Drosophila melanogaster: one gene and its partners. The protein of the gene in region 1 interacts with the protein of each later gene in a pairwise test. Each region holds a gene or a part of one and is shown on either strand. Other genes may lie near its edges.

Region 1 (7,313 bases):
CAAACTCTCGTGTGATATGTTTAAGAGCAATTGTATCGTACTTCCTATATGCGTACTGTTTGTTATTAATTTATAATCCTACACAGAGAAAATTAATCGCTGCTGCCCAATGGGTATTGCTGATTTAAATTACAAAATATATTCAAAATATCATTTGCATATTTTTGAAATATGAAAAAACTCAAGAAATGTCGGCCTTTTTCTCTGTGACTTTCCCATTAAACTTTAATCTTTCCATTTAAGTCTTCCCAAGAAAAGAGAAGTCAATAAACTTCGATGATGTTGAAAAATGATCAAAATTAATTTAGAAACTATGTTAATTTGGGCCTTGGGACGTCTGAGCAATTTGTACTATAATCGAGTAAAAACAATATATGAAGGAAACCAAGTTCGTGTCCTGCAGTCTTTTGTTTTTCGGCCAGTGGCCGCTTATTTAATTTCCAGCAGATTTATCTAAACACCTCGGGTGGTGAACGCCCACTAAATGCGGCATTACACAACCGACTTTCGTACGTGCAAAACAAGTTTCGAGTTTCTGTTACGATTCTATGCGGCCAACAAGGAAAGACCTCAAACGGGTTTCGCTCATTTGACAGTAATCTTGGCCAATTGTGCAAAATTCCGATGAAAATGAAATCAGCCTGGTGTGCTGGTGCTGGCTAAGCCGGAAAACCATGTGCAAGTGGGGGTGGCACTGGTTCATTAGGGGATTGGGGCTCTAAATCAATTCCCAATGGTATTGCGATCCGTCAGGCTCCAGTTGCGTTAGTGCAACTTAATAACATCCAAATGTTTTGCATATTTTATGCACCATCGAACGCAAGAATGCCGCCAGCTAATTTGCTATTTCCTCTCACCTGCTGAGTTCTCAGCATATGTGTGTTATAGTTTACAACTTAATTCGAGCACCGATTGCTATTCTATTATTTAATTGCACTTATACCTATATATTTACTTCGGAAATAATAAATTAATTCAGGGCATGCTGAAATAATTGATTTCATTCAATATCTCTCAAAATCTATTCTAATTTGACTATATTTTATTCATGATTCCATTTTTACTTATTTTTTAAATATTTTTAGTGCTAGCATTTTATTGTTGTCTTTATTTTTAGCATTTTTCCCTCTGTACTTTCCACATCCATTGGTTGGCATTCCTTTTCACCACCGACAACGATTACATTAACAATATTAGCAACACTTTTCAGAGCTTAGCTTTCAAGGTCAGATTTGTTGTGGACTCGAGGGTCCGGCTTGGAGTTTGGATTTTTGCTTTGCCTGGCTTTGGGGTCTGGCTTCTGTTGAAACTGTTTAGTCAATTAAGAAAATCAATTCGGTTTTGTTTTTTGCTACTTATTGCTTTTTATGATTTCTTCTCCGCGTGCCTTTGTGCACCCACTTTTGCGGCAATCGCAATCGATTGAATTGGCTTGCTCAATTGCGGATTTTCGTTCGGATTTGCGAAAGAGGTAAGAGTCGAGAATTTGCCTGGGATCGAAACAGGTGTCTCATGGGTGTGTTGCTTCCAAAGTGTTCTTAATACGTCTATTTTTATGAACAACACACGTTTATGATTGACTGCGTTTATTTTTAAAAAGGTAAACGTCGCCAGAATTTGTCGTGAAATGTGGAACTCACTCCAATTATGGCGATGTGGGTGTGACGAATACAGAATCCAATTAAATTGATGAGTAATTAATATATTTAATTAAAGTGGCGTATTATAAACTTGAAAACATCATTAAATTGAAAGGTTATTTGCAATTGAGTTAAGTGATATAATCTTTTTTTTTTTAAGCAAATAAGCCAGCAACACTCCTTATCGGATTCACTTTGGTGACGAATTCTCCTCATGAAATGGTAGAAAAGCCGGGACACCATACATTTAGCTGAGACAAGAACCGAGACTCTATACTTCTTTCAAAAACCGATAGAGACCGCCACCGTTCTCTTGATAGATACAACAGAAAAGTATATTAAAACACTTTATAAAATATACAACTATTTATGCTTAACTGCTCCTAAGCGCCAAATAACTCGTATGTTAAAATTCGTAAATTATAAATTAAATGCATCAAAATATATCCATAATTTTCTTTCATATCAACACCAAACTTCCAAGATAAAGTCATTTAAATAGGGGCATTTAAAATAAATGGTCTTTTATTACTTAAAAATACTCTGTACAACAAGACTACTCTAAGTATTTATAAACGATATTTTAATTAACGATTAAGTCAGGACTTAGTAATCCCTCTCACACATTGATGACCAGTGCTGTGGATCGGTATTTCCTTTTCGGTTTGATGATGGTCTTGGGTGGTCGGTTAAGATCTCCACTTGGAGGACGCCGGCGTGATCGAGATCCCTTCGGCGGAGAAGATGGTGGGTGTTCGATGTACTTGTTGCGCAGGTGTCCGGGCCCCGAAAAGTTGGGCGGATAGGCCTCAAAATCCTCGATTTCGAGGTCTGGCCGCGATTCCCGCTCCTGTTCCTGCGCCTGGGCCTTGAAGAATTTTTGCAGCTTCGGATTGTTCAAAAGCTGAACTTTGATGGCCTCGTCGAGCAGCTTCTGCTGATCCTCTAGGTAGGCCTCTACTTGTTTCTTGGAGGCGACGCTTTTGTAGCGATCGTGGCTTTTTGGTCGGGGCACTGGAACCACCTCGTAGTCATCGTGTTCGGGCTCATAAACACTATATGAGTTGCTGCTGGAGGCGACGGTTGCCTTTGGAGGTGGCACTAGATGGAAGGGATCGGCTTCCGATTCGTATTGCACTGGGGTCCACTTCGATCTTTTCGGAGGAGGTCCAACATCCTCTCCAGATCCAATATGAACATCGGATCCATAACCGGAGGGCTTGTGGATATCGGATCCATAACCAGATGCCTTGTATGGAATGGCCGTCACATATTTTGGCTGCTTCTGGTAGCCGGAACTGGACTTCTTGGGCACGGTTATGGGATGCTGGACGCGAATTTGGGTGCCAATCGTGTATTCCCGACTATCCTGAACGGAGGACTCTCCTGAATATTCCGCGGAATTGTAGCGTTGTTCGTCCTCTTCCTCTTGCTATATTTTAGGGGAATATTGTATTATTTCGGGCTTTTAGATCTTTCCTATTATTTGATATCTTATTTGTTAGGCCAACTTACCGATCCGTAGGGTCTGTAGTGGCTCTTCTTGGGATACTTTTTGCTCAGTGGCCGGTGCTTGCTCTCATTTGTTTGCAGATCGGCACGGAAGTAACTAGCGGGTCCTATTCTCACTGGTCCTGGCAGAGAGCTGGGTGCGTGCCCAGATCCTGAACCCACTGCACTGAAGTAGCTCCTCCGATAGTAGGATCGTGGGGGTCTCAGCCCCGAGGTGACCGTCACTAACAGCACCGCCGCAGCAAAGAACTAAGGAGATAGTATCCATTTCATGTTAATTGTGAATCTACGATTGCGGATGCAACAGCTTACATTCCAGCACACTTTCATTTTGGGTGGCGGCTTTTTCGGGGTGATTGCGTCTTGTGAAAACTCTCTTCAATGGTATTAACCACCAGCGTGGCCCCAACGAAACTGAAAGTTCGGCCAACGGACGCAACAGTTTTATGCTAGCTTCCTCGAACCTGCTGCAACATGTTTCGCAATGGCAATCGCAATTGAAACCTGCCAGGTGAGCAGCTAGTCAGTAGCAGATCGAAATCTCCGCTTCACGCATGGACTTACTACTCACAACAACATGGAGTAAAAAAAAAGAGTTTACCGCGCGCAAAGTGAGGCATTATTTGCATTTCCACTAGGAAATAGAGCGCCAACTTATCGGATGGGGCAGGGGGCATAAATAAAATGTTTCTTTATGGCCGTAATTACACATAACGATGGCCATTTACTTCTTCGAAGTTGTAACTGTGGAGGGGGCTTAGGTTGTGGTATGTGACTTAATAGGAAAGTAAGCAAATTAGATATGCAAAATGTACGACAATATAGTTAATAGGCAAAGATTGATGGCTTTTTTGAGTAGCGTAATTTGACCTCAAACTTGTTAATATACAGCTAACTAAAAGGAATGCCTTTATTCGATAGTAACAAACTTACAATTGCTAATTAATAATCATAACAATCATAATCGAAAATGGTAATATATCTACGTTCCATTAAATATTTAACTATTACAATCGCTCACTTTACACCAACAATTTTTTAATGTGTATGACGTCGACCGGCACGAGCCACCCACCCACTAAAAAGCAGAAGAACCACCTATCCTATCGACTTTTTTAAATCAGTCTTGCGGCAAACGGGTTTCCACGAGTATTACCCAATAAACGCTGCACTTTTCTTCTCTCCGCATTTGGCCCGAAGTTCAGGTTCAGTCGGGGCCAAGTCGAGCCAGGAAATGTTAGCCAGCTGGCGCTGCTTTTTGGCCCCTTTCGCCTTTTTTGCCGGCACGCTTGGACTACTTTCTATCGGCCAGGATGCGCGATCGAAATGCGGAAGATGTATGCCGTATGGACGTACATGAGCGGAGGTTGAGCAGTTTGTCTTGTCCCGGAGTTGGTGGAAGTGGATGTGGATGTGGAAATGGAAATGGACGAAGAAATGGTTTGAGAAATGGCAGTGGATATGGACAGGGAGTTGCGTAACATTTCACCACGCTTCATTTGCACAATTATTTTGCACGCTTATCCTGTCTCTGGATTTTGAATTGGGTTCCCATGGCAGCTGCAGATTGTCGGCAATTAAAGCGATGCCTTAATTAAATTCCCGGCTAATGCCGCCTTGATTGCAGCCCCGTGGCATATGTTGGATAATTGCCGCACTTGTTGCAATTTGCTGGCTGGACAATGGGTGGTTGGATTCCACACCCCGTTCCAAGACAAGGTCAAGCTCAAGTTCAACACGCGTGACAATTGGTTGCAACGCCGCATAATGCCCCGTTTCCTTGTGAAACCGCTCGGAAACCCCACCAGTCGCGATTTAAACTGGCACTTGGACTTCAACTTGACTGCAAGCTTGGTTGGATTTCCGCTGGCTCCTAACAATGCCACCTCAATGGCTCTTTCTTTCTGAAAGTTTTGTGAAAGGAGCTAGGGGCAGGGACCTGCGAATGCCCCAGCCCCAGCCCCAAAATGGGCTGGCCAGGTGAGCTGCCCAGAGCAACGGACTTGATTGCCAGACTAGCAAATTGTTGGGAATTTCAAATGAGTCGATAAAGAAAAGCCGCGCGAAAGGGTGCCTCGAATTACATTACGGTCTATGAATTACATACTAGATCGATTCATAATATTGCCAAACAGATTACAGGCCCATCAGTGAGCTTGAGGTATGAATAAGTTTCTATTCACACAATGCACACAATGAATAGCTGCGTTGTATTCATGGCAAGCCTTTCCAAGTTCAATGTGCGCCTGCTTTCGATTACCTCGATATAAATATATAACAACTTGAACTTCACTCTCTTTCATTATTAGTTTGAAAACTGAATACCAAACGAATTGATTAAGTGCCCATGTATATTTTTCTGTGCCTATAGTAGGTTTTTAAGGCTTAATTGAATATTTCCCGATTCGAAATTTATTTGGTTATATATGTATTAGTTTATTAGCATATCTCTATCATTATAATTATAGATTTTTCTGCGTTGGCTTTAAAAGCTAAATTAATACATGATCGTGGTGCACAACAACAGCATCGCCGACAAATTAGTCAAGATCAAGGTTTGTTTATGTATGTATATTCAACCGCTCGAAAACAACAAAAAAGCCGACTCATTCATTCGCATGTGGGTGAATTCAGAGTTTGTATGGGATCGTAAAAGTAAAAACTAAAAAAAGGTTGAGCTGCTGCTGTCGCATCAACTTGCTGCTGATGTGGCTGTTGTGCTGCAGATGTTGTTGCTGCTTCTGTTGCAGTCGCTGTTGGCTTTCAATTAGCAATGCAGATTGTTGCTGTCGACTTACTACATAGAGAAATATTTGTAATACTATTTCATCCTAATGATTGTCAAGCAGATATTCTTGTATGATCTTCTTCATCGCTTCAGTTATATGTTTTTGCACTTGCATTTCTCACTGTGTAGCTGCACTAATCACTGAACACGCGAACTGGAGCCCTCAGTCCGGCAGACCCACGCTCACTCTCTGCCCCGCTGAGCTGCGACGCGCCTGCGCAGTGGGCGGCGACTGCGACGCCGTACCGCCCACCATCAAAGCGTCGCCGCTGAAGCAGAGGCTGCTGCGCAGGTGTTTGCGAGGGTCAGAGGGCACGGGGGGATCTTCGTCGATAGTGTGTGTGTTACCCACTCCGGATTGGGTCTGTGGCATTTTTGGAAAGATTTTCCTACCATTGCCGTTGGCCTGATAATTATTATTATTATTTAATGGCTTGCTCCGACTAGTTTCCATAAAAGAGCGTTGATGTTGCTGCTGCTGCTGCTGCTGGCGACTTCCTGTCGGCATATTTGGCTGCTGACGGTAGCGAGTTTCGTAGGTGGGCTCCTCACGATCCTCGCGATCCTCCCGATCATCGCGATCCACCCGATCATCGTAGTAGGCGTACTCGGCAGCCTCCTCGTTGTAGGTCACATGCTTTTTGGGCAGTCCGGGACTTCGGGTTAGTTGCAATCTTCGGACTCGACTTTCCAGATGGTCGTACGGGTCCTGATCCTGTGACGTTTGCTTCAGTATCCTTTTGGGCAGGGGCAGTGGGCGTGGCCGCCGCCACTCGGGACTGTCGTTCAGGGGTTTCTTGGTGACCTTGGGCTCCAGTTCCACGCTGAAACTGCGCACATTTCTTTTGACCTGCAGCTTGGGACTGTTCTTGGAATTCAGTTCCACTTCGCGCTTGTCATTCAAGTCCATTTGTGGTCTCCTGGCGTTATTTTGAGTTAGGTTATCTGCTTCGTTTACATAATCGTAGAACTGGATCTTGGAGCTGTAAGCCTGCTGGCGACGGCTGCTGGTGTCCTCAGCTTTGTTATCCGATTCCTGCGGTCTCACTTCGGTTAGTTTTGGGGTTATTTCTCTGCGTAGACCCCTTGCCAATGAAGGTTTATTTCCAGGATTAGACTGCAGATTATCATAGAACTGTATGGAAGAACTGGCAAACTCCTTGTGAAACATTCGCCGTGTGTCCACTTCGTCGGATACATTCTGATTGGAAGTAATCCTTTCCACAGGCCTCTCCAGCTGCTGGCTGTTTCTCCTCTTTGCTCGGGTTTCCACCGCGGAATCCGCTCGGGAATCGTCTGGCCAGAAGAAGTGCGACTCCTGGCGATTGCACACCTTCACCGCCTGGCGCTCCACCATTTTGGGCGGCAAGCCC
Region 2 (8,544 bases), on another chromosome or scaffold:
AAATCCGCCGCATAATGGACGCAACAATTTGTCTAGGCCCATAATTGGCGGAAGAAAAAAAAAAGAACTCATAAAAACCAAATGATAAACGCCAACCGAAAATTGGGAAAAACTCTGAAGTCGACTGAAAGTTATGCAACTCATTCTGCTCTTCATTCGAGGGGTATGGGAAAATGGGCGGCAACGGAAAACTCTCCCATTTCGTGTCTGACCACCACCAATCATGCAAAATCCGAAAAAAAAAAACTGAAGAAGAAAATGCAACCGAAAACAGATCCCCCAGCAAGAAGAAGTCCAAAAGAACATAAACAATTGAAACTGATTAAATTAATTTGATAACAAGTCCGGACCGACTGACAGAGGAGCATTGAAGCACTTTAGATATGACTGAGGAAATTCACTTTTTCACTGAGGGGGTGAAAATCGAGTTGATATGTGAAAGCACTTTGGGGAATTTGTGGCGCTGCTGAATTGGAATGTGAAATATGATTTTAATTTAAATAAATTTAGTTTAATTGAAAGCTGGATAAATGGGCTGCTTCAAAGCAATTACAGATAGTTTAATTCGGTTTCGCTCTTTTTATTTTGGCCTTTTTTTGGGTTCAGTTCCATGCTACAAATTATAAAGATTGACAGGGAAGTGAGCACTTGGGTATATTAAGTATTATTCATCAAAAACTTGTATTTACAATACAAAAAGTATTGTATTTTATTGAACTTTTTAAATATATATTACCCATATTATATAGGCTATGAATCTAATATTATGCGTAAGGGCTTCTCTCATAATATACGAAATATGTAGAAATAAATCAAATATAATTATTACATTTTATGGCTATTGGCGACGAGATGCAGCTTGCATCGTAAATTGCAGTAAAGCATGTAAGATTATAAAGGGTTATTTGTGGAATCCGATTACATTTAAACAGAAAATTGCTCTGCAGGCACCATAAAACATTCAAAGCCTCCATTTATTGTAAACTCCCCATAAGCTGTTAGTTTATGTTTACTGCACTTTTTTTTGGTTCGAAAACTTTAACATTTTGACTGGAAAATCTGCATTTGTGCACATGTGTGTGTATGTGGGTGCGAATGCATGATGAACAACAAGTTGCTCATGATAATTTGCTATAATTGTCACCCTGAACAATAATCAAGCAAACACAACATCCGCAAATGATTTAGTGATTTAATTAAGCGCAGTGGTGGCTTAAATTACGTAGGCGTTGCCGCCTAACCATAACCGATTTTTTGTTAATGATGCATAGTAATATTGTGCAACACACGGGGATGAAGTGATGGCCAGAAGGGGCACAATGACTAGCCATAATCGAGGGGTGGGGGATGGAAGTGCACGCAGAAAAACTAATCTAGAACTTAAATTTTGTGCTCTCATGCATAAGATAATTATACGTATCATTAGCACAGAAAGTACAAGACATTTCTAAGTATACCATAATCAATTCGATATTTAATTACTATTTTGCTATATTTGTTCATATTCAAATATATTTTTATATCCTTTTTCCTATATGATTTATATAATTTCGAATGAAAGCATAAAATTCCTCCCGACCAGCGAAAAGTTGCACATACTGTTGGCACAGAAGTTGCTGCAGTTGCTGCTGTTGCATCGATTGATGTTGCTGTTGCTGCAGCATCTGATGTCGTCGTCCTTGTCACTGTTGCATCGACATTTCTGCCGCCTGTCTCTGTCCGCGTTGTTCATTTGCCAATTACGCGTTTAACTCTGCATGAAGCCAGACATAACAACCTGGCAACTGAATGGATCGCTACACGCAGCGAAAATTCCAAAAGTAGCAAAAGAGTATCAAAAACTCTCTAGATAAAAGTATCATTGTGTACTCGTTGCACTCAAGAGTGATTTTAAATCACAAACATAATAAGTAAGTACAAGTGTAATTGATGTACTGAGTAAATGTTTTTCGCCGTGTAGACAGGAGACAGGTGGCAGGGGCAACCGCTTGTTTGTGTTGGCGTGGCAAGTTGGCAACACATGCCGCACGCTCGGGCAGATCTAATGCCTTCGCTTCCAACTGCAGCATTAATTATTCCGAGGGTGAAATATTTTTGGCCACGCACGCCAGAGATTTCACTACAACTTCTGGGCCAAATCCTGGGATGCAGATGATGGCGATGATGCTGCTGCGCCCTAATTGAGTTCACATTACTTGCCGAAATATGTTGCGTTTGGGGGCAAATGCTCTTGCTTTTATTAGCCAAACGTGAGTTGGCAACAATCGCCATTGTTCGCCGGCAAATCATGTTCATTTCGAGATGATGAATCCTTCGACCCGCGCCAGTTGAAAGTGTCAAACCATTTAGAGAGTTGGGATGGGGTTGAGATTAGCAAGTGTTGATAGACAGACCCGAAACGTGACTGGCAACATCCATGGGTTACATGGATTAGGGAGGGATCTGCTCAGACAGCTGGCAGGGCTACAAAGTTGGGCAAAGTTAAAAGCCCCATTGAGCCAAGTGTGTGGCGGGGGAAAAGTTTTCCGAATGTTATAGGATGTTATAGGTTCTGGCTATATGAATTTAATTGCTTTCCTTGCCATTAACAGTGGGGTGCCACAAAGCCTGGGAGATCAGTGTCCTAAGATGGAATAATGGTAGTTCCCTTTAGATAACGTGTTACCCTTGACTATCCACACCCAACGCCGACAACTTTGGTCACTCATTGCAACCGCAAAATCCATCAACTGCACCGACTTTACATATCCGCTCATTTCGCTAACGAGCTGGGCCACAGAGCCACCGAACCAAGAAGACCCTCGCCACCGCCGCCCGGCTTGATCCACACCTGACATGGTTTGCATAGCATAGAGCACAGCAATTTGGGGCGCACTTCTGGATGGAGAAGTGGGTGGGCCATGGGATGGAACATGTGTGCTATGGGTATGTGTTCGGGTATGGATGTTAGCCTAACGAACAGTGAATGCCATGCCGCAGCTGCATGCAAGTGCATGGAGCTCTTCTTTGGGCGATTCTCCTTCACTCTGCTCCTGGGTTGACAATTTAATTGATGTGCACTCACACAAAGGCTTTTGAAGCGACCGCTAAAAAAATAAAGTGAAATAAAATAAAATAGAGTGACACCTAGCCAGGCGTTGCGAACACACACACAGTGAAGTCTCGGAAAGTAGGTCAGGCATGCAACCCGCTGTCAGCGCTGAATAATTGGAGAGGGTATCGCCACCCAATCCCGAAAGCCCAAAACCAAAAACCAAAAACCCTCTGGGGAAAGTGCAATTGGAGGAGTCGGGAATCGGGCGAAAAATGAATAGCGGCCACCGCTTAATGGGTTTTAATGCTGATTTCGTTTGACACTCGGCTGACACAACTAATAAATTTTCCGCTGCCATGTCAAGTGGAAAGCCTCAACTGGCCATCCATCCCATAGCAAACCATCCCACCCACTTGCCGTATCGCCTTTGATTGATTGTCTGCTGGCGCTTTCAACTGATTGCGAGGTGTGTAGTGGAGCAGCCAGGACTCGGGGGCCAGAACTGCAATCAAACATGAATTACGACGAGTGGCAGACGCTGATAAGCGGCTAGATAAGCGCCTGATTAGCAGCCCGGCACTGCAGTTCAAATATTTACCCAGTTATTCACAAGTGACGCGATGCAATCTGCGTACCTACATACTCCGCACTCCGCACTCCGAAACTCCTGACGCCCATCAATCAGCCGGAGGCACAAACACGCGAGTGTTGTAAATTTTACAACATAATTTTTGATAATTTTTCCCTATCAGCTATACAGCTCCCTGCGCCCCCGATCCACAGAACACACTGCCTACAAAACAAACACTTTGCATGTGTTTTATGATGCCACATGGATGTGGCACAACTTGGGCCGCTTCACCCTTTCCTTTTGGCCCATGGATTGAGGCTACTGATTTATTTTTTATATTCACTGGGTTGTAAATTCTTTGTCTGGGCCCTGTGACACATTGTAAAACAATTTTCCCCACTTTTATTAGCTTGGCAATCTCTTCGACAGGATTTGTGTGTGTTTCTTTCTGGCGGGGAATGGCTTGGGTCCAAGAAGACGAGGTTGGGGATGGGGATCGGGGCGAGGTATAAATATAAAAGTAGATTAAAGGTACTTGGGCTGCGGACTCGAGCTATCCCAAGCCGATTTGCTTGGCCAAGTGGAAACCTGGTTATTAGATGGAGATAAACAAATCTGTTTTGATAAGGGCTAAGAATCAGTCACTCGGATTTTTAAGCTTATTAGAGTAGTATTCTTCTATGGAAAATAGTTAGGCTAAATAAATAATATAAACTAAACTAAACTAAATATTTAAATACTCATTTTGGTGTCATTTTTTGACTACATGATTTTACTATTTATTTTCTTTTGAAGACGTTTATAAAATATATCTAAAATTGTTTTGTATTGTTTTAAATTGGATAAACTATGAAAAAATATGATTTTTTAAATAAAAACTTTGATTATAGAGGGATTACTTATCTAGAGATGAATCCACTTGCCAATCGAATTTAATTTAACGCAAAGAAATACAAATTTAAATCGCTTTAGCATTTCTATTTATCTAGATAAGTCTAACGAACAATTAAATCAAAGAAACAGGAAATCATGCTAGACAAATAGAATGTTTTCTTGTTTCTCGGTGAGCTGGCCAATTGAAGGAGGGACAATACTACTTTATATGTAGCTCCGAGGCTAGAAACAATTAAAAGGCATATATTATTTACGCAAAAAGAGTAAATAATCCCAGCAAGTCGCATTCGTTTGCCCAGGAGACAAAATCCCGGCTTGGCATAAATCAAATTTGATTTAAAGTCGAACGAACGCACACAAAGTGGCAAATAATTGCCCAGTTAATTGAAAAGCCAAAAGGCAGGCGAAAATCAACACGATTACTTACCGATTAGGCGCAGCACCTCGTGCAAGTTGAGGAAAATATTGAGATGGGCCTGACCGCTGGCGATCAGGGTCAAAAGTAATCCGATTGTTAGCAAGTTGGGGGCCATCTTTCGGATTCGATTAATCCGCCGGTTGTTTAGTCGCAATAAGAGGAAGAGATAGTTTTAACTGCAGTTCGGCTACTCTGCCGATTTTCTATTTCCCGTTTGGCACTCGCTAAAACGATTTAATTTCCGCTGCACTGCTGTTCACTTTTTGCGCTGCATTTGCAATTTTACGAGCGTCGCGTTGATTTCAATCGCGCTGATTATTACAGGAATTATTTGTCAGAGCATTTGGCACTTTGCCTTCTGGCCGGGAAAACTCAGGCGCACATATTTCCCAATCAGTCTCTGTCTCTGCACCCGTTTTTCCTCGCTTTTCTCGCCGTTCGTCCGCGTTCGTTTTCCGCGTTTGATCCGCTCACCGTGACGATTTTCCACAAACTGTCAACTGGATAAACAAACACTTCGCCACGAAGCGAATGGCTTCCACGCCGAGCGGAGTGGAGTGTGGACTGTGGACTGTGTGTGGCGCTCGTGGACTTGTTCTGTAGAACTTGAAGGCTGGAACCCGTATAACAGTCGTGTTGGAACCTCGAACTCGGTTGCAGTTCGAACATCTCATCGAACATCTCCAATTGGCTAAATACCAAAACTGGCATACTGTTCGATATCCTTTATTAAATTAACTAAACAAACATTCATATAAAGTTTAAAAAATAGACCCACAAACTTCCCAAATGAATTCGAATTAATGATGTAATATAATGATTTTAACCTTTTAACTTTTTTTTATTGTGTTTGATTCAATTTCGAATTAAACTCATGTTGCCAAAAATAAACATTACGACATTTTATACTTTATAAATCGTTAGTTTATTACAGAAAGAGAGACAGAAGCTTGCAGAAGCATAAAATAAATAAGTACAGAATATATAAATACGTACATGATTTTAGGTACATCAATTAACAACATAAATAATTTATAATTACAGACTTGGAATGTGTATCAGTCGTTACACAAATAATAGGAACAGAAAATTAATACTAAAAGCACACAGAAGAACCCTAACAAAAATCAAAGCTGCACGAGAAGAATCTTAACTAATACATTTGACAAATCAAATCTTTGGAATATTTGCAAACTGGCCTTGGCTAAGTACTTGATAATTTGACACAATACTTCATTAGTTACTCTTAACATTAAATTCAAGCCTCCAGTTTCAGCTGATCGATGGAGCTTAGAGTAGTTTCAATAAGCAGATTGTAGTCCAATTCGTTTAGACTGGCCTTCGCAGTCAGCAGGTCCAGAAAGGAGTCCAGTGGCGAAAGGGCTTCGGCAGTTAGATCTGCAAGAATACCAACCAAATTGGTCATTAGAGAGGTGGCTATGGTTAAGTTAGATAACAAGAAACAAAATGTGCAAATGGGACAACGACTGGCGAACACTGAACAGCGTTTCTTACCGGTCAGCGATGGGAATGTTTTCTACCAGATGAGAGGGCGCTGCCTGAACGCATAGCTCGATATGCTCAGGACGACCGTGGTTAGAATGAAAAGCAGAAAAACCAAAAGCAGCGAGTGACAAACAACAGTGTTGGGCTTGCCCAAAGCTGGACGAGATGTGTTCGGGTGAAGAGTGTACAAATGAAAAGTTAACGTGTTTATGGCGGGCTAACCAAGCAAGATCTTACCGCTCCGCGCATTATTTCGCGATTGATTCACGCAGGCCGTGGGTCGCTGCTGGTGCAACACCTCCTGCTGCTGACCCGACAGAATGTTGGCCGCATGCTCGCGTCCGCGGATCATAAGGCTGTCCGGATGCTGCCAGCATTTGAGTAACCTTTGAGCACGCTGCTTGGGCAGAGCAGACAAAAGTGATAGCTTCCGCTCAATGCCCAGTGGAGAATCTTCAATATCTGAAGGAATACATTAAGCAATAATGAAATGAACAGTATATGAAAACAAGTATATATATTTGTTACAAACCGAAAACAATGGCCTTCATCACATCCACTTGCAGTTCGAACACATGATTTTCCACATACTGCAGAAACATATCATAGCCCAGCGCACGATAGCCCAAGTAGGTGAAGAACGAGGAGAAACCCTCGGGCAGGGGAAACGCAATCGATTCCACAGCCAGGCAATAGCGCTCGAGGATTAGAAACAGAGAGTGCTGTTGATTGGCAGCCATTTGGTCACTGCAATCATTACAGACGTGAGTGAAAAGTGATCACATTTGAAATCATCACCAACTCACATCAACTGAAAACCCCTCGAGGTCTCCATGCGCGCATCTAGGCCTGCAGCACGACAAACCAGAGAGCAAAGAGCCCGCGAGAGTTCAAGCTGCGCGGAAACGAACTGGGAGGCCACCGCATGCACATGAGCTGGAGCCTGGGAGCGCTCGAAAAAGGTCTCCTTCAGCCAGCGGAAGCCAGTGTTGGGCTTTGACGTGTGCTTCACCAGGTGAACGCTCAGCTCGCGCAGATACTGTAAATTTCGTAGCTTTAATAAAAATGTTACCTCAAGATTACGCAGCAACTCACCACAGAAATGACGTGCTCCTGCTTGCTGGCTGTGCATCCCTCCAGTTCGATAAAGGGCAGCACTTCGTTGCTGAATGGAAAAGCACTTCCGCTACTATAGTCACCAAATCCACCGGTGCCCGTGTCTGGCGAAAGTGGCGTGGTGCATCTGGACAGAGCCTCCGGCTGGTAGCAGGCCAAACTAAAGATCAACTTCTCCGTCACCTGCTCAGCACTGAATCTAGGCTGCTCCTGCTTGGCTGACTCGTTGAGAAGGTCCCATAAGCGAGTCCAGATGTCCGTGCGATAAGGTGAAAGGCGCTGCTGTGGCGAGAGCAGCATCATGCTGGTATTGTGCAGGGTTTCATGAGAGAGACCCACGCTTATATCGGCCACCTTTGCGTGGATTGGTCGCGAGGCTAAGGCAGTAGTCAATGGCAGTAGTCGCATCAGTGGCTTGGCATCCTCTGGTAGTCCGCGAACAGCAGCCGCATAGCTGCCAGCCACAAGAGCCTCCTTCAGCAAAGCCACCGTATCCAGGGAGAGTGGTCGCTCCAAGATATTGTTCAGCAGCTCGGCCAACACATCCATATCGTTCGAGTGCAAAAGGAAGTAGTGGATAATGCTGATTCTATTGTCCAGCGAACTGTCATTGCGGAAAGCCTCTATCAAATGGGATTTGGGCACGGACAACGAGACCAGATCCAAGGTGGCCGCATCATAAGCCAGAGCTCCCCACTTTCGCAAAGGCACCAGCTGTGTGATATCGGGACTTCGATTGTGGGCTGCACACACGATATGGCAGTTCGGTTCGTGCTGCAGTCCCACGTCCAAGAGGTGGACAAAAAAGGCGGACGACACCAGCAAGTGATGCTGGCCGTGTAGCGCAAATGTTGGCCTCAGCAGACGGGCCTTTTGCCACGGCACACCGGGCATGACGCAGTGCACCACATAGCCGTGGTGAAGCAAAGTCACCGAGTAGGCAAAGTGCACATCCCTTTGCTCCGACTGCATCGGCTGGTACAGGTAGTAGTGACAGACGAAAAA
Region 3 (8,535 bases), about 13 Mb from region 1:
GCCGCAAATAGCCGAAACGATGATAATGATGTGATGGGTGGTCTGGTCAGCCCAACTTTGCTATGCCAGGATCCATATTTATGGAGGCTTCTGCCCACGGACGGGAACTACAACTCCATTTGCTTTTAACCATTCCATTTCACGTTCTGCACGTTTATTGTTTTACCATGCTTTCTGCCTATTATACAAAATTCTACAACAGACGGATGGACAAGAGCCTTCTCCATTTGCCTAATGTGTTTGTGTGTGTGAGTTGGAAAATCGAAATTCGGAAAATTCCGAAATTGAAATGGAGTGTGTCTCGGGTATTTAGCAGGAATAATGTTAGTTTTTGTTCGACTACCTTCAATTGCCAAATTAATTGCAGTTAAGTCGAGCAAGCTAAGCCCAGCTTGCTTGCCCTCTCTATCACTGCCCCTATTCCCCTCTCTTTCGCATTGCAAACTTTGCTGAGTGTCTGTCTGTCTGTGTGTGTGTGTGTTTCTATGTGTGTGTGCATCCTAAAGTGGAGTCAATGAAAATTGCAACTCCCACTTTGCTCGTACGTCAATTAGACCTCCTTCTCAGCCACCCTCTCATGTCATCTCCTTTCGCTCACACACACAAACAGGCAGTGTGTGCCAGAGGCTCCTGTCTTTCTCCTTCTCTCTCTCTCTCTCTCTCTCTTTCTACCCCTGTGTCCATCTCTTTCCATTGCAGCTTTAGCTCTTTTATTGCAGTGCAATTTGTTGTAGAAATCGTTTTGTCCGACAGTTGAACAGTTTGTTATTTCTTTTAAATGTTCCCAAGCAAAGGAGCTTTTCCAAATTTTTGTGGCTTGCCTTGGCCAGCGGTCAGGCATTGAGATTAATGGGAGTTTCCTTCTCAGTCCATCCTTTAAACTGCACAGGCAAAAGGATCTCCTACGGTATGTATTTGAATTATCACAGATTCCTATAATAATGTGCCTGTTTTTTTCTTTCAGTTTTACTTAAGCTACCACATTTCTCTTAATTCTTCTAATTCGATATAATGTACAACAGACTTTTTAAAATATATAATATTTTTAAGTGATCCTTAAAAGCCTTAAGATCTTTACTTTTCAGTGTAACCTTTAGTTAACCTCTTTGATGGCATTTCCAATTTTCCCAAATGAGCGCAATCAAATCCGAGTTGAAATTTCCTCGAGAACAGAGCGAAACACAAATGAAATCATCTGAAGGTGCTGAGTGAACGCAATTTCCATTTGTGAATTGAGATTGAAATGGAAATGGGGCACCACCTAAGTGTCACTATTTCTGAAACCGTCGAGGTGGCCGGAATTCTTCCAATTCCCCACTCCATTGTTTCCCGGAAAAGCCCCGTCCCCCATTGGATTTATTTTTTATACACCCCCAATCCCACTCTAAAGTCTTACACGAAAACGAATCAAAAACAAGCAATGCACAGAGGGAAATTACGGAAAAATGTGTTACGGACGCAGGTGATGGCTCCGTCAACACACACACACACACACATGCACAGCTCCTCCAAGGGGAAATGGGAGGTGGTGGGTGGCAGATGGGGGTGCTGGGCGGGTGCAAGGGTGGCGCCTTGCCCTCAGCACGTGGAGACGCACTTTGGCAAAAGCAATCTTCTAAACAGGATAAATGTAATTGCGCATGAATTTCTACGCATATTTCGGCGTCGCTGTCTGAGCTGCAAATGTTTGTTACCCATTTGTTTGGTTGTGTTTTTTATGCTCGCTTTTCCCGTCGCTGAAAAGCGTTCTCCGACATTTCGAGGAGCTGTCACCCCATTGGCCCTCCACTGGCCACGCCCCCAAAGAGAGTGCTCTCTCCGGTCTCGCCGTCTCTCTCTTTCGACGGGTAATTGACTCGCATAATGTTTGTTTTGTTTTGAGCAAATCGTTTGCAACACTCTTTGAATGCCTCGTGGTTGTCTCATAAAAAGCGAAAGCATTTAAAAATTCAATTTGCCCTCTCTCTCATTCTCTCTCTCTCTAACTTTTTCTTGCTCTCACCCGCTCTTTTTCTGCAAAGTTTGCAGAGCTCCTTCGCAAAAATGGCCGCCTGTTCGCTTTTTGGGGGAGGTTTTCTCTTTGGGGAACGGAACGCTGTGGAATGAAACATGCTATAAGGTAGAAAGCTCAGAGATTCCAAATAAAAGAAGAAACGGGAATGCATTACAATGACATGAACGATACTAAATATAACTTAATACGTTGGGAAATTGCTTACATATTTTTAATTATTTAAATATAATTGTTGAAAATCTTTCACTTAATTTCTTAAGGATACCTTCTATCCTCGTATTTTTGATAATATCGTTTTTGATTAACGTTGTTCTTCACCATTTCGTTATCAAACATAATAAATACATTTGATATTTTATACATTTGATAACACCCACAAAACCTCTTTTACTTTTCTTTGCATAATTTATAAGTTGCTTGTTTATTTCTTTCGATATTTTAGCAATTCAATGATTTATCTATATCACCGAACCCCATTTGTTGAAACTTTCACCGCTCAATCTGCTAACCGCAAGGTTGCAATCGACTGGTGCATTTTCGGCACACACTTTTCTGGTCGAAAAAGTTTGCATCTGGCTGGCTGGGAAATTTCAATGGCGCCACAGAGCAACACTTGACCCCTGTTAGGTGGCAATTGATTGATTTTATATTGGCATTTCAATAGACACCAGCCGAGCGAAGCGATTCGAGTCGAGCCGAGTGCGCCCCCACTTTAGACGCGTTCCAAATGCCAAGTGTTTCCCATTCGGGGGGTAGGAAAACCAAAGCGCACTCCACCAGCACCGCAGAGAAAAAATAGTAAAGGAGGAAAATGCGAAAAGTGTCTGTCGATGCGGTTGCAGTGCAATTGTCGAAATAAACGAAAAGAAATTCCGAACTGCAAATGGAATGAAAAAGAGCGGCAGAAGGGGTGGGCCACCAGGCGGTGAAAGAGAGGGACAGCGAGAGCGATAGAGAGAGAGTGGGACACACCCTCCCAGGAGGGGTAGCAAATACGCAAGTGTGTGTGTGAGTGCGGAAAACCATTTAGCGCAAAGACCAAAAGAATTTGCAGGGCTGCCAGCCAACCACCTCAGTCTCAGTTTCAGTTCCACGCTCTCCGGACACGAGACCGGGGGTTAAAAATCCAGAGACTGAAACAATAAAAACACTAAACGATCGCTTTGCCACACACAAACACAAGCACACACACACACGCAGACACACACAAGCACTCGCATACATACAGAGACAGAAAGGACGAAGGACTCAGAACACAGAACTCAGGACTGCGTCTGTTAACAGCCGCATTTAAATTCAAATGCGAAACGTTGATCAAACGGTGCAGACGTGTTTCTCCCAACGGTAGCGCTCGGCGTTTTCCCTTAACGAGTTTTTCGTGGCACGACTGAAGTGTACAAGGTTTGGAAAATTCTTTATTTTCCTAACAAATATATATAAAACAAAAAAAAAAAAACACACACACAAGTGCAAGTTGAAGAACAAAAGTGCTGAATTAAACGTTTAAACTGCAAATCTAAGCAAAAATCTCAAGCTATGTCTTCCTCCGAGGCCGAAGTTGACATCAGTGTGGTGTCCAGTCCGGAGCCGAGTCCTTTGGGCGCCGCTGCCCGCGACAGTCCGCTGCTGGCCCGCTCGCCGGCCCGTTCCGCCGACGGCAGTTCGCCCCCGGCCACGCCTACCCATCGCTCCAATACGCCCAACACGGCCGCCGGCACGCCCACAACGTCCGCCTCGGGCGGCAATCACTTCCATCACAGTCCCAGCGGAGGCGCTGTGCCGCCGGCGGTGTTGCACCATCATCTGCAGCACCATCTGAGCAGCCTGGGCAGCCATCCGGTGGCGCTGCATCACGCGCTCCACACCTTTGGCCACTTGCATCCCGCCCACGGGGCCACACATCCCGCCCTGCTGCAGCACGCACTCACGCCCACCGGCCAGCAGCAGCAGCAACAGTTGCAGGTGCAGCAGCAACACCAGCAGTCGCATGTCGAGCGCCTTAGTCCGCCAATGAAGAGTCCGGAGCGGAATGGCGGCGATGAGGTGCAAGGACACAGTCTGAACAACAACAACAGTAAGGCCCTCAATCACAACAACACTTGCGCCTCGGCGGCCGCAGCGGCGGCAGCAGCAGCGGTGGCAGCGGCCAACCTGAGCAACAACAGCAACGACAGCAACGGGAGCAGCGGGGGCGGCGGCGGCAAGAGCACCACCGGCTCCAACGGATTCACCAGCTTCTCCATCTCCAGCATCCTGAGTCGCAGTGAGCCGGCCAAGAAGAACGGCGCCGCCGGACTTATCACTCCGATCCCGCAGTTGCCGCAACCAGGAGCCGGCGGTCCACAGGATGCGGCCATGTTGTCCAGGTAATTAAAAAACATTCCAGACTTGCTCTAGTCAAAAATAGCCCTCCCATTTCAAATGTGATTAATCTTGTAAATATGAAGTCGCCAAATTTAAAAATCTTAGTGTCAACATTTTACTTCAATTCATTTTAACAATTTAATCTGCAAAAATTTAGTCCATCCATCTGTCATATATAATTAGTTACTTCTGACGATATTCAGCTATTCCGCCTAATTTTGATCCGCAAGATATTTTAAAAAAATACAAACTCGAACTAAAATTTCATTCAAATTTTAACCCTATAATTACTGAAATTAAATGAGTATAATTTCATATGCCCAAGGATTTCCCATTGAATACCTTTTTTTGTAATAATAAAAATCACTCGTCTTAAGTACCATACCCATTTATTGCTCAGTGTAGGCGACCCAGATTAGGACGTTCGCCGGCGAACTGAAACCAAAAAGTCAAGCCTTGCCTCAATGAGCCCAAAACCCAAAGAGGCTGCCATTCCACTTGTTCGCCCTCGGGTTGGGCCAATTTTGTATAATCGTCCTAGGGGAAGACAAGGCAAGGTGACACAAATCTCTTCGCAGGAAGTGCACAAAGAGGAGAAATGGGATGGAGACGGACTGAGATGGTAGCCGGGAGATGGTCGATAAGACCGAAAATTGTTGGGCAAACGTTACACGAGACATTAAGTGGGTGAAGATGCAAATGGCTAAAGTACCATGCCATTGTGCTCCGAGAATCTAACGATTCCAAATTCCAGATGCCAGACAGATAAAGCAAATCCAATGGAACCGTTTTTAGTTGCACTGGACGCTAGCTGACCTCGAATATATGCAGAAAAGGTCTAAACCATTTTTGCCCTGCAATTTGGCCAGACTATCGAGTTACATAACATTTGTTAGATGAAATTTAATGCACCGCTTCGGGAATGAATGTAACCGACTGTCCGGCTGATTGACGGACTGACAATGCTCCAGTATCGTATGCAAAACGTGGTCCTTTCGAATGAATGAACCCTCAGTCCCTCCAAGCTGACCCACAAAAACTGGTACGTTTCTACAGCTGTTTGTTGTGCGAATGCAACTTATTGATACACAATGTGCACTGGAAATAAACAAGTCCGAGCTAATATTAACGGATTTTGTAAAATTTAATTGTGAAAAATAGCACTCGAAAAATGTACACCTACATAAATCTATATTTATTTAGGTACTATTCATTAAAGAGCTTATTTCTCTTGCAACATATTCCATTGATTCAATTTAAATTTGTCTCAGTGCAAATGCGTTTTTTATTCATTTCATTCATATCATAAACGCTGGCATATTAACCCCACTTAGCCGGCTTTTTGAGTCAGCGATCGAATTTCCAGGCAGCTCGATTAACGCATGTGTTGAATTAAAAAAAAAAAAAAACAACCAAGAGAATTTATAAGTTGCACTTTTATTTTACGAGAGAATGGGAGGGGGACTCCCCCAGACGTTTTAGTCCTCGAACTTTTTAATAACGATCATTTTCATTTCATTTACGCGTGCCCGCGTCGCTGATCGTCTCGATAAGGAAAGTCGGGCTGGTGGGCAGGTTCTGTGGCCGAGGGTCGCTACTGTCCCAGTCAACTGGACTGTGGCCCGTGCGTGGTTACCCCAATTAAGGACCTCGTCCTGGACAAAGTGTCGCCTCCTGCTGTTTGGCGCTAGCCCAGCTGACGTGTGGCTGCCTATGTGACTGGCTTATCAGTTGATCATCATCGGCCAGAATGATTAATGCCGGGGGGATATGAATACGAGTATGAGCACAGCAACATTGCTGAGTGATCGTTTAATAGTTTGAGCCGACTTTCTCCCGGCGGAGCTCGGCTTATTTTGACAGTTGCGCTTACGTTTTTAATTAGTCGCTGGGCTTTCTCTGCAGCCTGTACTTAATTACGATTCAGTTGGGCGAGCGAGCGGGGGATTCGAAAAAGTTGCGCAGCCAGATAGCAGGAAAAAACCATTGAAGAGGTGTAACCCGATATGCTTGTGAGTGGACTGGAAACAATGGGCAACGGCGAACGGAAAGGGTGCTCCTGCATTGTCCTTTTCTCCCAGGATGACGCAAAAAGCAGACGATGACATTATAATTACACACACACATACACATACAGAGTAAGGTATACATAGAGTAATTACAATCCAATTGCAATCGCAATGGCAATTGAGGACCTAACCAATCCCATAACATATCTCTTCATCTGCAACTGATTTTCGGCGCTGAGGGGATTAGTGTTTAGTGGTGAAATGCCTTTGATTCCTTATCGCGATGTTGTGGTGGGAACTTCTATGGTCGCAATTTAATCAAAACATATTCTGCAGACCATCGGATGCATCCAATCTGAGTCTGCGGCTTGACTTCACCCCAACCTCTCGGATTCGCCGGTCACGTGTCATTTGGCGGGGCTTCCCATGGTGGCAAATCGACAAAAGATGAAATAATAGCAAAAAACCAATATCATGCTCTTCACAAATGTCACCATTTTCGGTTACTTTGTTTAGTCGCCTCAGATCAGTGGGACATAGCCTAAGCCGCTCCCCAGGCACTAGACTATTGCTAATAATCCCGTTTAATGACAAAAGCAAACTTCGCTGCCCATTCGAGTGTTTAATATTTTGCCTACTTTTGCGGCCAGGTCGAGTATGCCTCGAAAACCGTTCGAGAACCCCTCGAAAACTGCTCGAAAACCCGTACCGTTAAATGTCAACAATGTAACATAAATTCCTGGTATCGGAAGGGGAGTACGGAATTTCGGAAGGGGCGATCCCGCACGGGATGGACCAATTAGCGTGTGCAAATCTTTCATGCATGAGCGATTCCTAAGCGGTTTTAGGGCTCACAGATCGGTTGGCCACACAAATTTAAATAGATTTATTTAAATCAATTTCGCTAATGCGACAATCGTATGAAAAGTGCGGGTAATAACATTTGAATTGGTTAATACTCCACTCGTTGCTTAACTTAACCCCAGCCACACGGTTCACATCACTTTGAACTTTCGCTTGGATCTCGACACAAAGAAAGCCCCACGGATGGCTCGGGGACATCAAAGCCGAAACTCATAGCCAACCAGAAACCGATGTTCGACGCCATGTTAAACAACTCAATTGCACAGCCCATTCTATGCCTTCATGCTCTATGATGCCAAGGACAAAGGGATCCCAAGTCGCGGAATTATGATGGGTGAGCCGGGGCGAAAGGAGCCCAAAGCGAGAACCGCAAACAATTCATTAAAAGCTAAATAACAAATGCATCAACCCCCCCTAAATATCCTCCCCATTTGACAGCCCGGGGCTGATTGGAGGTCTACGAGGGTCCAAAATGGGAGCAGGAGTGACCCGAAGCACCGCACCCACTTCTAAAAACATGGCCGTCCGCTTCCGCCGCAGCATGACACCAATGCAAATGGTCGTGGAAATGAATACCTAGCTGTCCGCGGTTTGCCGTGGGCAAATTTATTCAGTACTTATTTCATTAACCGCGACGAGCTCTTGATTTGCGTAATTAGCCGAGCAAATAGCTACAAGCTTTTGTTTTGATTCTTCATGGCACAAATTAGCCCCAGTAATTGAGGTAATTTCTTTTGTCCTTTTATTTGCCTTCATCTTGTGCCAGAAAATGGGATGAAATATGGGTGTTCCTAATTCCGGCTGTACCATCTTATTATAAATATATTTTAGTAAAGTCTAATACACTAATTCATTCAACATACATTCATCATTCCTAATCTTCTAAATTACCTATAAAATCACAAAATAGGTAGTTTTTACTGTATCATATCATATTCTAGTATTTTTCCATGCCTAAGTCAGATTTTTCTCGACGTGCTCGTAACTTGAGAGGACTTCCTTCTATTTTCGAGTTTCTGCGGCTGTTTGGGGTCTGGCTTCTCGGTGGGTCGAAACTAGCCGAAAGCCAAAGCGGCTTTCTCTCAATTGCCGCTGTAAACATGAAGCCCATTAGAAGTGATTTGAGCTGGCGACTTGGGGAAGCCCCTGAAGGCTCCTCCTCATAATTCACCAGTCCGGGCTGAAAGTAAACTTAATTGAAAATCATTACTGCTGGCAAGTGAAAATGGAAGTGGGAATCGCTGCAAAGAGAGCGACTGTGGCTATCGCCCACCTGGCTATTGA

Evidence for each region.
Region 2: the proteins of CG15545 (region 1) and drl interact in a two-hybrid assay, tested with the Drosophila melanogaster proteins (one large-scale study listed by BioGRID).
Region 3: the proteins of CG15545 (region 1) and Hmx interact in a two-hybrid assay, tested with the Drosophila melanogaster proteins (one large-scale study listed by BioGRID).

Annotation. Positions count from the first base shown.
Region 1 is NT_033777.3:30,868,799-30,876,111, forward strand, and holds CG15545 (uncharacterized protein), read right to left. Parts: upstream 3,554-7,313; 5' UTR 3,483-3,553; coding exon 3,465-3,482; intron 3,402-3,464; coding exon 3,156-3,401; intron 3,073-3,155; coding exon 2,260-3,072; 3' UTR 2,141-2,259; downstream 1-2,140. Other genes in the region: CG15546 (uncharacterized protein), read right to left, coding at 6,104-7,313.
Region 2 is NT_033779.5:19,187,217-19,195,760, reverse strand, and holds the start of drl (derailed), read right to left. Parts: upstream 5,420-8,544; 5' UTR 5,033-5,419; coding exon 4,927-5,032; intron 1-4,926. Other genes in the region: pigeon, read right to left, coding at 6,176-6,315, 6,661-6,885, 6,956-7,170, 7,230-7,462, 7,519-8,544. UniProt on the Drosophila melanogaster protein: Probable coreceptor of Wnt proteins. Involved in neuronal pathway recognition and ventral muscle attachment site selection. Non-vital for development. May be part of a signal transduction cascade involved in learning and possibly memory.
Region 3 is NT_033777.3:17,555,814-17,564,348, forward strand, and holds the start of Hmx (H6-like-homeobox), read left to right. Parts: upstream 1-3,116; 5' UTR 3,117-3,550; coding exon 3,551-4,380; intron 4,381-8,535. UniProt on the Drosophila melanogaster protein: Transcription factor involved in specification of neuronal cell types.